2 linked regions of the Rattus norvegicus genome follow. The protein of the gene in region 2 purifies or fractionates together with the protein of the main gene of each other region. This does not show direct contact. Links are inferred from orthologs where the notes say so. Each region holds a gene or a part of one and is shown on either strand. Other genes may lie near its edges.

Region 1 (7,677 bases), on a different chromosome or scaffold from region 2:
TCTCCAAACGATCAAGCTCTACCAACCCAGGAAAACATTTTGTCATTTGTCTCAAAAGTTCAAGTCCAGGGCTGGAGAGATGGCGCAGTGGTTAAGAGCACCGGCTGCTCGCTCTTACAGAGGTCCTGGGTTTGAGTCCTAGTGGGCAGTGGCTCACAATCATCTGTTAACTACAATTCCAGGTATCCAATGCCTGCTTCTGACCCGAGGGCACCAGGCACAAATGCACAATTGGAGGCATAACATTTACATGTATAAAATATAAATAAATATAAAAAACAGTATTTAAATACATGAAATCAAGAGACCAAGGAAAGGAATATACATTAATTACTTCCATTAAAAAACACACAAAATGGAGTTGGGGATTTAGCTCAGTGGTAGAGTGCTTGCCTAGCAAGCGCAAGGCTCTGGGTTTGGTCCCCAGCTCCGGAAAAACAAACAAACAAACAAAAAACAACAACAAAAAACCACATACACACAAAATAAACCACGGAAAGGGGCAGGCATATGGCTTATGCCTGCAAGCACAGTGCCAGAGAAGCTGAGGCTGAAAAGTGCCTAAGTTTGAGTCCAGCCTGGGCTACATACACCATTAAGTCCTCAAAAACTCCAAACCAGCCAACCAACCAACAGTTTTGTTTGTTTGTTTGTTTGTTTTTTTTTTTTGAGTGAAAAGAACCCCTCCAGCATGCCAGGTGTTATGGCCCGTGCCCTTAATCCGAGGCAGGAATTCCAGGGCAGCCAGGGCTATGCAGAGAAACTCTGTTTTCAAAAATAACACTGCCAAAAAAATCTTCAAAAAGCAAGCCAGCCAAGCAACCAGCCCAGGGTTAACCCTGTCTCTCTTTCTGTGGCGTGCACACATCATTCTTTGTCCTTCTGCTTTCTCTTCACAAACTCTCCTCCTCAAGTCCTTACATGCCTATAGACCTTCAGAAACAAAGTCAATCCAATACTTCCTGTGTTTTCTGTCATACTCTCTAACAGTAAATACTTATTTCACTTATAGTAAGTGCCTTAGTACCCAATGGCCACAGATGAAATGTGCATTTTAAGTATGAGAAAACAAGTGTATTTGCCGCAAAACCTTTGTTAACACAAGTAAAACTTCAAAGTCTAAAATACAATCCAAGATACAATTGTGAATTGAGAATTTCAATCAGTTTTCTGAATTGCTTTTTAAAGATTATTATTACATGGCATGAATGTTTTAACTGCATAGAAATGTGTGTGCTTGATGTCCAAAGCAGAAGAGGATATAGGATACCCTGGAACTTGAGTTATGGATGTCTGTGAGCCACCAGGTGGGCACTGGGAACAAAACCTGGGTCCTCTATTAAGAGCAAACTCTATAAAAACAAGTATTCTTAATGACTGAGTCATCTTCTCAGCTTCATTTATCTGTGTGTTTACATGTATCTGTGAGTATATACATGTGTTTGTGTGCTCAGCCATGTTCCTGGAAGCAGGACGGGACTTTGGCACTGGAGCTACAGATGTTTGTGAGCCGCCTGATATAGGTGCTGAGATCTTGAGCTCTGGTGTGAATCACTGGGCAACAGTCAGGCACTCTTGACTACTGAGCTATCTCTCCAGCCTTTTAGGTAGCTCTTTAATGCTGTGTAACCTCCCAAAGCTGACTAGATGATGGGCCTTGGAGTTTAATGAGGTATTAGCAAGGGAACAGAAAAGCACATTTTCCAGTGTCCTGGGCCCACACACCACTGCATTTTCTTTTAAGTGGGTGACACATTAAATGAAGAGTTTAAAAGCTGAAGAGTACCCTACAAGATGACATAGTGTAGAAATTTGTATTTTGTTTTTAACTATACAGTGTCTTCAAAATAAAATATTTGCAGAAACCTGGAGGGTAGAGCAGTAGGGAAGCTGGGTAGAGGGACTGCCCTGAGTCTGAGCAGGCAACATAAACACCCTGTTTCAACCCACAACAACAACCACAAAAACGTTTATGCAGGAACTCTTAGAACAAAGTTTTTTCCCCTAAGACACCCCAGCAGAGCAGTTATAAAACCATGAACTAAGTCAAACTACTTTTCCTATTTCGGGTAAAGAAACAAAGGTCTCTAAGTGTTAAGTACCTTGTCCTAAGTCATCAAGGTTTTAAGGATGTTTAAGAGTTAGTCCTAGAAATAAGGGTTTATTAATACAGTATCAAATTCTTTAAAGTAAATTTGTACCAATAAAAGAGTTCTTGATGAAAAAGTATTTTGTTACATCTATATTCAAAGATCTATATTCAAAGATAACTTTCCCCTAAGCTGATGGCAAGTGACTTCAGATTCTTGTGGCACACTTAATCAGAGTGATACTTTTTTTTTTTTTTTGGTTCTTTTTTTCGGAGCTGGGGACCGAACCCAGGGCCTTGCGCTTCCTAGGCAAGCGCTCTACCACTGAGCTAAATCCCCAACCCCCAGAGTGATACTTTTGACACACTCCAAGAATTCAAAATTCATTCAGTGCTCCTTTGATTTTATTTATATATATATATTTTTTTCTTTTCTTTTTTTTAAAACTCCAGGTCTTTATGCAAAATTGAGGGTGATTAGAATTCAACTGTCTGAGGGCTGGAGAGATAGCTCAATGGTTAAGACACTGGCTGCGTTTATAGAGGACCCAGGTTCGATTCAGCACCCACATGGTGGCTCACAGCTGTCTGTAACTCCAGTTGCAGAGGATCTGACATTCTCTCCTGGCCTCTGTGGGCACCCGTTGGAGGCAAATCACCCACACACATAAAATAAAAACAGACCTTAAAAAAACAAAACAAAAACAAACAAAACAAAAACCCAGTAACTGAGATCACTTGCAATAAAAAAACAAGAAAATTCTGTTTCTGATAAACATGGAAGACACCAAGTCTTCCCATTTACCATTTTCTCCAAATAGCCCATTCTATCTAAACAAACCTTTTTTCTTACCTGAGAATTTGGCTGGAATGCAGCATGGGGTGTTGAGTGTTTTTGTAAATTTTCTAGCATTAGAGCCTGGTATAAAGAAGAGCAAAAATCAGAAACCAGGAGGGGGAACAAAAAAGCACTCCAGATCTCTACCTCTCCCACAGCCTTTTCACTAAATTACTTAAATATACATTTATACTACATTCCTTTCACAGAGCCTAAAAGCGCTTTATTAATATTGTTCTCATTCATCTTCATAAGTCGCTTAAAGGTAGCCATGGTTACTGCTCCCAAGTATACGGATGTAAAATACAGGCACACAAAGAATCAGTGACCTGGCTATGTCACAAAAAAATCAGCAAAAGTGGCAGAATCAGAACTAGAACCCCTGTTATTGTCTGTAATTTTGACTAGGAGCCACTTTTAAATCTGGTAATACAGGCAAAAAAAATTACAAGTACTCAAACAAGTTTCAAATTACATGAAACCAACACTAGGCTGCTAATTTAGATTTGACTATTATTTGATTTTCAGAACTAAAACTACTTAAATGAACCTGCACAATTTCCATCAGTGTTGACACCCAGACAAATCAAATGTACTAAAAACTTCACCGAGAAACTAACCACAGACCTTGTAACCTGTGGTCTGACCTAATCCACACCCACCCACAAACTGTCAGCTTCGGGATAAGCAACGGTCTGTCAACTCAAAGCCTGAACTGACCGAGTCCCTATCAGTATTATGAGCCACGTACCCTAATGAACTCAAATTACACTAGTCCTTCTCACCTTCCTTCCCTCCATTTACACCAAACCAATACACAGTATGTATACCTCACGACAACAAGCTCATTCTCACTGCTCAAACCGATACAAAATCCCCAGCCTAAAGTAATCTGTCTCACCTCTCGCACCAATATTCACCAAATTCTTATCCAGACTGTTTCTCGATTCCCTATAAATTAGACACCCGTCTCTGACAAGTCCTTCTATCAAGGTTTTCCTTCATCTAAGGTTTTAATCTAGTCAAGCGGACATTTTTTACCCTATCCAAAATGTACTACTGCAGACACAGACACCAACCCCATCCGCCCAACTGTATCCCTAACTCGGACACAGCCCTGCTCGCCCCCTTAAGGCCAGCCACACCGGTGGTTGTAGAGGGATTTAACTCCTTCTGCAGCGCATGCGCCGAAAACACAGACACAAACAAGGAGGGGGTGGGGGAAGAAGGAAGGAGCTTAAGACACTCCGGGAGAGTAGCGCGCACCCTCCCATTTTGGGCTCGCGCTGCTGCCGTTAAGGCGGGAACCGGCGTTATCTCTATTCCAGCGCCAGCCACACCAACCACCGTGCGCGTGGATCTGCAGGCTCGCGCTGGCGGCCTGAGAGAGCTCGCGCCGAGCCCGGACACTGCGCCTGCGCCGCAGCGGAGACTCGTCTCTACCAGGTCCGCTCCCCTCCGACACCTCGGCAACGCTGACTTCTCACCCCTTTGAGCCGCTTGACCAGGGCACTCTTCTGCCCGCTCTTGGCTAGGCCTCGCTGCTCCAGTGCGGCCTTCAGGTCGGTCACCCGCAGAGCCTGAAGAGGCTTCCCGTCCAGAGTCACCTCCTCCAGCTCCGCCATCTTGCGTGAGGTACTCGGGTCCGTCCCGACGGCTTCGGGCATCTTCGGTAATTTCCGCCAACGCCCTTCGAACGTACCGAACTGGCCCCGCCCACTGCCATAGTCTACCCCTCTATTACCGCTCAGAATTCCCCGGGTTCCTCCGGAACTGTTCGGTCGTTTCCGTCTCCACATCGGTACCAATCGGCTTTTTCCATCTGCCTAGCGGCCGGCTCCTCCCATTTTACTTTCAGGTTCGTTTGTTTTCGTCTTGCCGAGGCTTTGAATCGAATCTATTCGGAAGCCCTCGAATCTGGCATACCCATAATCGGAGATATTCGGCTATCTCCGGACTTGAGGGCTGAGGCGCTGGGGCACTTGGGTACTTGGGGCTGGTTCCGGACCGGAAGTGCGTGGGTTACTGGGGCTGGCTGTACTTAGGGTTTTCCGGAAACATGGAAGAGACTCGGGGAATTGGAGCAGGAGCTGAAGCACTCTTGTGATCTCTGGGCGCCCTCCAAGGGGAAAAGGGAGGTAAGAGGAAAAGAAATTTCTCCTAGGCCGGATAAGACTTGGTGTCTGAATGTTTTCTTTTGGGGAACCCTTCTGCTTCCTGGCGAAATCTCTGTGGTCCCCATCCTCTATATCCCAGCCACTCGGTCTAAGAAATGCTTTGTCCTGTGTGGCTAAGGAATAAGAGACCTGCTGCTTCCAAACGTGGGAAAAAGTAGCATTGTGTCTTTGATCTCAGACAGCAAATTTATTAATGACATCGAATTTAAGTTTACAGTGGAAGCCATGTAAATGTAAAAAAGCCTGGGTAAATAATTCCCTTTCTCTGAAAAAGAGAAGTTTTAGGAGAAACTTCTCCCTGTAGGGCCACTTTGAAACTGGCAGTCACCCTGAACCGGGACTTAGAACTGACGTTTAGGTATTCTTTTCTTCATGGATACAAATTTTCCAACTCGGAGAAGTAAGAACAGGTAGAAATTTAGGTCCTAGAGAGTTGAAGGTTTTCCTTGTTGGAGATACAAACTGTAGGACTAAAGTATTTTGGAATAAGTTGGCTGACACTTGCATCCATGATGCAAAATGAGTGGTACTTGTAGGCATAAAGCTTTAAGGAAAACTGTTGAGAGACACGTGTGCATCCGTATCACACTTTTTAGGTTACCTAAGTCAAGAAAGAAGCAAAAGGACTTTCTTCAGAACTTTAATAAAGTGGCTTCTGATTTTCTAACCCTTACCTTACCTTGAGACAAGAACTTTACCTAGCCTGCTCCAAAATTTACTAGTGTGGTAGAGAATTTAATAAGGGGGTCATAGAACATAAACATTTTTTACAGGTTTCAGAGGTGGTTCATACACTGTACAGTAGGTTCTTGTCTCATGACCACCCCCTACGTCCCACACACACACACAGTGGGGAACTGTGGGAAAATCAGCATTTAGGTTGGGACCAGTTGCTTGTACTTTGAACAGAAGGTTCTTGCCTCTTGTCTCCACTCCCAACACACAGTGCATGTAACTGTGGAAAAATCAACATTTAGGTTGGGACTAGTCGCTTGTACCAAAATTTAAAAAGCTGTGCACATTAATTTTAGAGAGAACAAGCAAGACATGTGTTTTCTGTTTAGGTTTGTGATCAGTTCTTACTGTGTTCCCAGGCTGGCCTCAATGGCTTGTTTTTCCTTATTATTTGTTTGGGTTTTGTTTTTTTGCTTTTTTTTTTTTTTTAAGATAGGGTTTCTCTGTGTAGCCCTGGCTATCCTAGAACTCATTCTGCAGTCCAGGCTGGCCATGAACTAGAGATGTGCCTGCGCGTGCCTCCTGAGTGCTGGGATTAAGGGCATGCTCTGCCACTGTCTGGTTCGTTTTTATTATTTTGTGTATATGTGTGTCTGTCTACGGGTGTGTGCTTGTCTCATGGAGTTCACAGTTCAGCTCAGGAGCCGAAGCTACAGGTGCTTTCAAGTCACTTGACATGAGTGCTCTGGAGAGCAGAAAGTGAATTTAACTTTGGAACAGTTGTCTTCCTAGCCCCTCAATTGGTTGTTTTTAAGATCATTTATAAGAAGTAGGTGGGGGATATAGTTCAATTGGTAGAGTGCTTGTTTAGTTTGCCAGGTTCTGTCTCTAGCATCACAGAAATGGTATAGTGACATTTCACAGTTCATGAAACTAGTGTAGCCTAGGCTACACGAGACTGAGAGGCTTATGGGTAGGTGACATGTCTGTAATCTTCAAGGCTCAGGCAGAAGATCTTGAATTTGAGGCCTGTGAGATTTTTTTCTAAAACCCAAGGTAGCCTGGGAAAATGATTACTCTTGATGCAGAAACCTCTGCCCCCAAATCATTCAAACCAAGGCGTTCAGATCACCTATGAAATTACCAAGCCATCAAGGCTATGTGTACCTAAAAAGCCACCCAGTGTCTGAAAGGTGTCCCTTTAAAGAAGCAGTATAGACAGTGTAATAGTAGAATTTGTGGGGCTGGAGAGATGGCTCAGTGGTTAAGAGCACTGACTGCTCTTCCTGAGGTCCTGAGTTCAATTCCCAGCAATCACATGGTGGCTCACAACTATCTGTAATGGGATCCAATGCCCTCTTCTGGTGTGTCTGAAAACAGCTACAGTGTACTTATATAAATAAAATAAATAAATCTTTTAAAAAAAAAAAAAAAAAAGAATTTGTAAGTGTGCCGACAAGCAGTAGGTCTAGACATATGATTGGTAGCCTCAGAAGAGTGCTGGAGTTTTGCTATACGTGCTTGAAAATGCTGAACTTACAGGTTTTGATATAGATTCTGTGGTCACTGACAATCCAGAGGAAAACACCCAAACTGGAGTCAGATAAACTCACATGTGAGCTTGTCTGCCACATTGAAATGATTCTCACTAAAAGCTGTTCCTGAGCTAAAAGAGGAGGCTACAAAGAAGAAAGGACATCCCAGAAGAGACTGATGCAACAAAAACTTCCAGCATGTGAATAAATTTAGCATCAAATAAATGTAAATAAAAGTTAATGTGCTGGAACAAAGGCAGGAAGAAGCACTGGTCAGGTAGGGTATTTGTTTTTTGTTTTTTGGACCAAGAGTCTCAGACTGTCCTAGAACATAATGTGACTAAGGCTGATCTTTTAACTCTT
Region 2 (7,141 bases):
GGGGCAGATGAGGTTGAAGAGTGTAAGTAGTAGTATATACATGGCAGGGGTTGAATCGATAGGTACAAGTTCTGTCATATTTACACTATTTCACATATTCACAGGTATAAAGGAGCCAGGGGCTGGAGAGGGGGCGAGTTCTGGCTCTGTTCTCTTATATAAAAAAGCACCAGTGTCCTGGACTGGACACCCACTGCTACACAGGGAGCAGGGGGCCCAAAGCCTGATTGTCACCGACTGATATCCCGACTGGAGTCCCACAACTTGGTGTTGGGTGGCTCAGTCCGAAGGCAGGCGAAGAAAGGGTGCTGAAGGGCTTCACCTAAGGTCAGCCGCTTAGCAGGTTCATACTCAAGCATGTTTTCAATCAGATCGAAGAGCTGGTGGTGGTCCTCTGCCTCTGAGGTCAGATACCGCTGGTGGAGGGCAGGAAGAAGGTAAGGCAGGACGCCTTACAAAGTTATCTTTATTTCCTTCTCAAGACAGGGTCTCGCTGTGCAGCCCAGCTGTTCTGGAACTATGCACTGCAGCTGACTTGGAACACCCACCTCAGATTCCCAAGTGCTGGGATTTCAGGCCTGTGCCACCATACAAGTCTCAGCTTCCTTTAAAGCTCCGTTTGCATGCAATTTGAAAGCTACTTTATCGCAACATTATGGCCATTTCTGATATTACAGCTCAACCTACCTTTCCACAATTATTCCTTCTTTTTCTAAATTTTACTTGTATAGACTTTTCAACCTCATGAATCTTCCTTAGCTCCACATTAAAATTTAAGCTTTTCAAAGGTAGTTTATTTTTTTCTGTCCTTAAGAAACCAGGCCATTGCTTCATCTGGCTGTCTCTATGTGACACTACCTAACCTCGGCTCTGTGAATCCTCTCTGCTGTCCGCTGTTGATCAAACTGTCTTCTTTCAATGTTTCTCCCCCTCCTGCCCTAACCTCCACTTACAAAATGCATTCCAGGGGCAAACCACCCTAAGAAAGAACAACCTTTAGATCGTGGACAGTATTTCTCCCTGGCCAGGCTCACCCGTAGTGGTTTGCAGTTCTCACGGACGTAGCGCCCAGCTGAGGTGTTCTCATCCCAATCCAGGCGACCCCGATAAAAATATTTCTGTTTTCTAAAGGGGAAGGGGAGGTTGGTGCATCAGAAGGTTCCACTTTGATAATATCTGTTCCCTTGTTTACCCAAGTGAAAGTAAGTAGGAGCTAGGGAGGTATCAATGGAAAAAAGAAAGTGGCGTGTGACAGACAAATTCCGAGGGAAGAAGAGCTCAAGTGCCTCCTGCTCAAGCGTCACCTTGTCTTTCTGATCATCCGAGAGGGGACAGGACCCAGGATCCTTTCCATCATGGCTAGATGCTCTCTGTTGTCATGGGTCTGAGAAACAAAGACAGAGCTGAGTGTAGGACTCATCAAGGCCCCCTGGGGACCAGTTGCCAGATGGACAGTGTGGAGTACTGAGCAGGCATGGCCTCTGCAGATCAGGAAATCCAGCAGCCCAGTATTATCCCACCACTTACCTGGAAGAGGGTGAAGCCGACGTAGTACTCGAAGATGATACAGCCTATGCTCCACACGTCGCACGGCTGTGACCAGCCCAACTCTGTGCAGTGAGGGGGAGGGAGAGGTAGTGTGATGCCTAGGATACGCCCCCTCCTCACACCACTGCACACTGGGCAGTCCTGAGCTCCCTTACCCAGGATGACTTCTGGGGCTCGGTAATGGCGAGTGGAGACAATGGTGCTATGGTGCTCATGGTCAAAGGTGGCACTGCCGAAGTCCACCACCCGCACAGCTGTGCTCTTCACACTGCGTTCATCTCGTTTCTAGGAGCCAAGCAGACGGGAATGAATCTCCTCATAACTGACACTCAGAGACTAAGCTGCTTCAGAGTCTGACAAATATAGCCTGTTCCCATCTACCAAGGAAAATTAGGCTCCGAGTACTTGGTTGTTTAAAAGAGGATTTCATTATGTATCCCAGGCAGGCTTTCAACCTGCAGCAATTCTACCTCAGAGCCTCCCAAGTGCTGGGATACAGGCATATGCCACCACAGCTAGCTCTCACAGTAGTGCTGTAAGAGCAGGAAAGGAAGACTAAGAAATGATACAGAATAGTGTGGAAGCCTCTACCAGACGACTAGAGCCAAGTGTCTGGGGTGCTATTCTGAAAATCTGTACTGTGTAGCAAAGGGTGAAGAGGATCTTTGGAGCTGAGACCTCCAGCAGTCAAGCAATTGGGAGTTTTCCTACCACACAGAAATGCACATCTCACAAATGGAGTGTGAACATTTCCCAAATTATCTTTCAAGTCCTGTTAAATTGCTCCCTTTTGACTTATCACCGCGGCTCACTGGTTTCCCAGCTGGAGCCAGACAGGGAGAAATTAGTAAAGGGGAGAACAACAAAGAACTAACCAAACGCCAAGTGGCCCATTTGTCTGCCCCTCTGGACAGAGGGTAGCCGCTGTCCATCTTACCTTCTCTAGATTGTAGGTGAGTTCGTAGTCTGAATTCACAAACAGAATATTTTCAGGTTTGAGGTCCGTATGTGTCAACTTGTTATCATGGAGGACTGCGGGGAAAAGGCTAGATCAGGCTTGATCCAGGTGGCTAGTACTAATTGCCAGCAGTTGACCCCTTATTGAGTGCTAAGGACAAAGCTAGTCAGGAGGCAGGCCCAGACTCTACTGGGGCTGCTTTCTGCTCTCCAATCAAATAAAATGGCTGGCCTAACCTCTACCCTTAATAATATAAAATGCACACATGGTTCATCGGATAGAAAAGCAGCAGTGTGCCACAGGTGGGAGTTTTTGTTTGGTCTTATGATTGATCTATGTGACTGCCTAACATTTTTAAAACTGCATCACTGTGCCGATGCAGAGGACCTACTCTAAATTCTAAAGCTGGTGCCCCAGCTGAATGATCTGGTGTTTTCCCAACTGCTTTGTGAAGAGCACCTCATTAGACAAACCTAAGACTAGAGTTTTTAGAGTACGAGTACTTCTGTGTTTGTTGTACAGCACTTCTCCAAAGCAGAAGGGATGAGGAAAAGACACTAAGTGCTGTCAGTGATGGTAACAGGTGTGTGAGTGAACTGACTGCTTAGGGCCATGCCTAGCACACAAGTACACAAAAGAGGTCTGAAGGAGGGAAGGGCTGCCCCAGAGTTCGCCTCAGCCCACCCCACTCACACTTGACGGCCTGGCAGAGCTGGAAGGCCATGTGGCGCACTTGGTGGATGGGGTAGGGCAGGTAGTTGTTGTCTTTGAGGAAATCGAAGGTGCTAAGGCCCAGAAGCTCAAAGGAGATACACATGTGGCCATGGTAGTCAAACCAGTCAAACATCTGGACACAGAGGCTGGGGAGAGATAGGGGGAGTTGGATGTCTAATAAGTTCCCAAATCCCGTCACCCCACCAAAAGGAAAGACAGAACGGCTGTTGATTCAACAGTTGTATAAAAGCATGCTAGCTAATATGACTAATTAAGGTTAGGAATGTAGTTCAGTTGGTAGAGTGCCTACTTAGCATGCAGAAGGCCCAAGTTCAATCTGCAGCTTTCCTCATAACAACTATGATGGCATGAACCTTAATCTCAGCATTTGGGAGGTGGAGGCAGAAGAATCCTAAGTTTAAGATTATCTTCAACTACACAGTAAGTCTGAAGAAGTTAGCCTGGGTTACATGATACCCTGGCACTTAAAAAAACAAAATACCCCCCAAAAAACAATTAAGATTGTCAACAAAATTCAGGTAATCTAGAGAATGACAAAAAGGAAGAACCAATGAACCTGCCAAACTCTCCCCAACATATTTTTGTAACATCCTGAATCGTTCAAACCTACTCCCTATAACAGGGGTTGTAACTCAGGAATACAGCACCTCCCTGGCATGTAAGAGGCCATGTTCTTATCTCAGCCCTCAAAACAAGGAAAACAAACTCCACTTGTCAGACAGAGGAGGGTGGTATCTGCAATCAGGGCACGCAGGAAACTAGAAGCAGGAGGTTCACCATGAATTTGAAGTCAGTTTAGGTTATGTAATATGTTCCTGTCTCAAATAAATTAAAAAAAAAAAAATCCCAAAACAACTATTTGCTCAAGAGTTATAGCATGAAATTCTAAACAATATGGATTCTCAGTTACCAAAGTTATTTTTGTTGTCTGGGTTTCACTCAAGCACAGTCTGACCTGGAACTTCCTATGTCCTGGCCACATCCTGGTCTCAAATTCATGAGCCATTACATTCCGGCCCCATCTCCTGAACTTTAGTATCAGCCACTGTGGCGAAGTTTATACTTCACTGTTTTGTTAAATCTTATTTGGGCTAGGGATGTGGCTCAGTTGGTAAAGTATTTGTCTAAAGTTTAATACCTGGTACCACATAAAACTAGGTAAATTTCTATAATTGTAGGTGGAGGCAAGAGTTCAAGGTTATCCTTGCCTTTGGCTACAAGAATGAGCAGAAGCTAGCCTTAGCTAAATGAGGTACTGCCTCAAAACCAACAAACAACCTTCGCCGTCACAATCTTACAATTTTAGCAGATGAATAGCATGAGATCAAAACTGTAACTGTAGAAACACCCACAGTTCTAGAGCCTGGTACTCCTCTTCACTTAGAACCAAGTTCTGGTGCATTCCAGGCCAGTGTTCTACTACTACCAATTCCATGATTTCTTTCAAAGACTTTATTTTTAATTATGTGAGTTAGTTATTGCACGTGACTGCACATTTCTGAAGAGGACAGAGGTGCTGGATCTTCTGGAGCTATTTTTTTGTTTTGCTTTTTAAAGATTTATTTATTTATATATAAATCTTTAAACTAGTGTGTGTGTGTACACTGTAGCTGTCTTCAGACACACCAGAAGAGGGCATCAGATCCCATTACAGATGGTTGTGAGCCACCATGTGGTGGCTGGGAATTGAACTCAGGACCTCTGGAAGAGCAGTCAGTGCTCTTAACTGCTGAGCCATCTCTCCAGACTCCCCCCCTCCCCCTTCTGATGTTCTTTCTTTCTTTCTTTCTTTCTTTCTTTCTTTCTTTCTTTCTTTCTTTCTTCCTTCCTTCCTTCCTTCCTTCCTTCCTTTCTTTCTTTTTCTTCCACTTCTAGACAGGGTTTCTCTGCAAAGCTCTGGCTGTCCTGGAACTTACTCTGCAGACCAGGTTGTCTTCAAAGTCAGAGATCTGCCTACCCCTGCCTTTGAGTGCTGAGATTAAAGGCAAGCACAAGCAGTGCCAGGCTTTCCTAGAGCTATTTTGAACTTCTATGTGGATGCTGGGAACTAAACTCAGGTCTTATCCTATCATTCCTAACTGCTGAGCAATCTCTCCCCTCATCTCAAATTTCTGATTCTCCTGCTTCATTCCTGAACGAACTGTGGCTCTGTGTATTTGACTGGGGTTTGAACTTAGGACCCTGTGAGAGTTGGTTGGTGCTCCATCCATGGGTCACAATCTCTAGAACCATTTCCAGTGGTCAGAAAATGTCTTACGGAAATTTACATTGTCCAGGCTGTAATCCTTCCAATCTGCCTTTCCTCTTCTTCTGAATGGCTGGAATGACAGGCATGCACCATCTAGAGTGATGCCCACCAATGCCAGGGTCATTCTCAGATTGCTGATATCGTCGTAATACAAACAGGAGTAGATAGACTGTCATAGGACTATCTTAATGCTTTGCTACTCTCATGATCCAAAGTTTAACGGGCTGGATGTGGCACATGCCTTTCCTCTCAGCTCTCAGGAGGCAGTGGCACGAGGATCTCTGTGAGTTCGAGGACAGCCTGCTCTACAAGCAGTTTCTAGGCCAGCAAGGGCTACACAGAGAAAAGCATGCCTAAGAATAAGACAGACAGACAAGACTGGATGTACTCGCCGCCCGCCCGCATAGCCCCAGTAAAGCCTTCCTTGTGGAGAGAGCCCCTCGGCTTACTTCTTGTTGTCAGGATCTTTCTCATTGATTTTCTCCAGCACGTTGATTTCTAGTCGAGCGGCCTCCTTGTACTTCTCCACATTCTTAATGATCTTCAGGGCAACTCGTGCTCCGCCCCTGTAGGGCAACAGGTTTTCATTGGGTTCAAGAACATCTCAGAGGGGTTGGGGATTTAGCTCAGTGGTAGAGCGCTTGCCTAGGAAGCGCAAGGCCCTGGGTTCGGTCCCCAGCTCCGGAAAAAAAAAAAAAAAAAAAAAATCTCAGGTTGAATGCATCAGTGACTAAAGCATCAGACTGAGAACTTCTGCCTGTTTAATCTGTAAACAGATCCGATTCCTCACAATCTTCTAAGCTTAACAGAGGAGGAGTAAGCGGCGGGCCATAGTTACCTGCGATGGTCCACACACTGTACAACTCGGCCAAAGGTCCCTTCTCCTAAGGTGCTTACAATTTCATCTGAAACGAAAGAAAGCAGGGTCGGGGAGAGGGAGGGAGAAAAGGGGGGAATGAGATGAACTGGAAGAAAATAGGGCACAGCAACCTGGGGTGAGGAGATGAAGGAAGGGGGAACAGATATAGATGGCTGCAGGGGAAGAAACCCCTGTGTGACTCCCACCACCTTTAACCCAGGGGCCATGAGAGTTGGGAGTGGACAACAGGTCAGTTCTCAACAGCAACTCAAACCACCCAGATGAGCAACACCACTGAGAAAGGCACAAGAGGCTGTGACCTGGGTTGGCATGGGACATTAGGATGGCTATGGGACCATTACAGGCTATAGGATTGTTACGATTTGGCTTGTACATCGCTCTTGTAGCCAGTCCCCGACGTGGTAGATGAGGTGGCCCTCAGCGTCGTCCTCTACACTCTTGGCTCTCCGGCTGCTGTGCTGCTGTCGGGGGGTGGGGGGGGTCGGAGCAAGCCAGGTGTCGGATCGGGGGCCGGAGGGAGACGGGGTGGGTGGTGTAGGGGTCACCGGTCACAGGCGCCCAGCCAGGGGGGACAGACGATGATGGGGGACAGTGGAAGGGAACACGTCAGATGTGCTAAGGCGGAGCGGTGTGAGAAGAGAGAGCGGCGCATAATCCCAAGTCCCCAAACCCAAATCAGGACAGGGAAAGGCACGGGCAGAGCAGGAAAGTGATGATGTTGCCAGTGTTACCCACAACCCCATGCTCTACGAAGCACACTTCTAGGCAGACG

What was found.
Region 1: the proteins of Clk2 (region 2) and Acin1 purify together in Homo sapiens (affinity purification with mass spectrometry; 3 studies listed by BioGRID and IntAct, counting the BioPlex papers as one, with this or other methods). This does not show direct contact. The link is inferred for Rattus norvegicus from reciprocal best matches to the Homo sapiens genes CLK2 and ACIN1.

Annotation. Positions count from the first base shown.
Region 1 is NC_086033.1:32,112,242-32,119,918, forward strand, and holds the start of Acin1 (apoptotic chromatin condensation inducer in the nucleus), read right to left. Parts: upstream 4,764-7,677; 5' UTR 4,727-4,763; coding exon 4,415-4,726; intron 4,374-4,414; coding exon of another isoform or gene 3,979-4,373; intron 3,968-3,978; exon of another isoform or gene 3,829-3,967; intron 3,009-3,828; coding exon 2,943-3,008; intron 1-2,942. Other genes in the region: C15h14orf119 (uncharacterized protein C14orf119 homolog), read left to right, coding at 3,979-4,373.
Region 2 is NC_086020.1:176,873,161-176,880,301, reverse strand, and holds part of Clk2 (dual specificity protein kinase CLK2), read right to left. Parts: intron 6,831-7,141; coding exon 6,743-6,830; intron 6,395-6,742; coding exon 6,328-6,394; intron 6,056-6,327; coding exon 5,939-6,055; intron 3,367-5,938; coding exon 3,200-3,366; intron 2,581-3,199; coding exon 2,486-2,580; intron 1,834-2,485; coding exon 1,704-1,833; intron 1,696-1,703; exon of another isoform or gene 1,611-1,695; coding exon 1,528-1,610; intron 1,385-1,527; coding exon 1,305-1,384; intron 1,126-1,304; coding exon 1,035-1,125; intron 417-1,034; coding exon 231-416; 3' UTR 1-230. UniProt on the Homo sapiens protein: Dual specificity kinase acting on both serine/threonine and tyrosine-containing substrates. Phosphorylates serine- and arginine-rich (SR) proteins of the spliceosomal complex.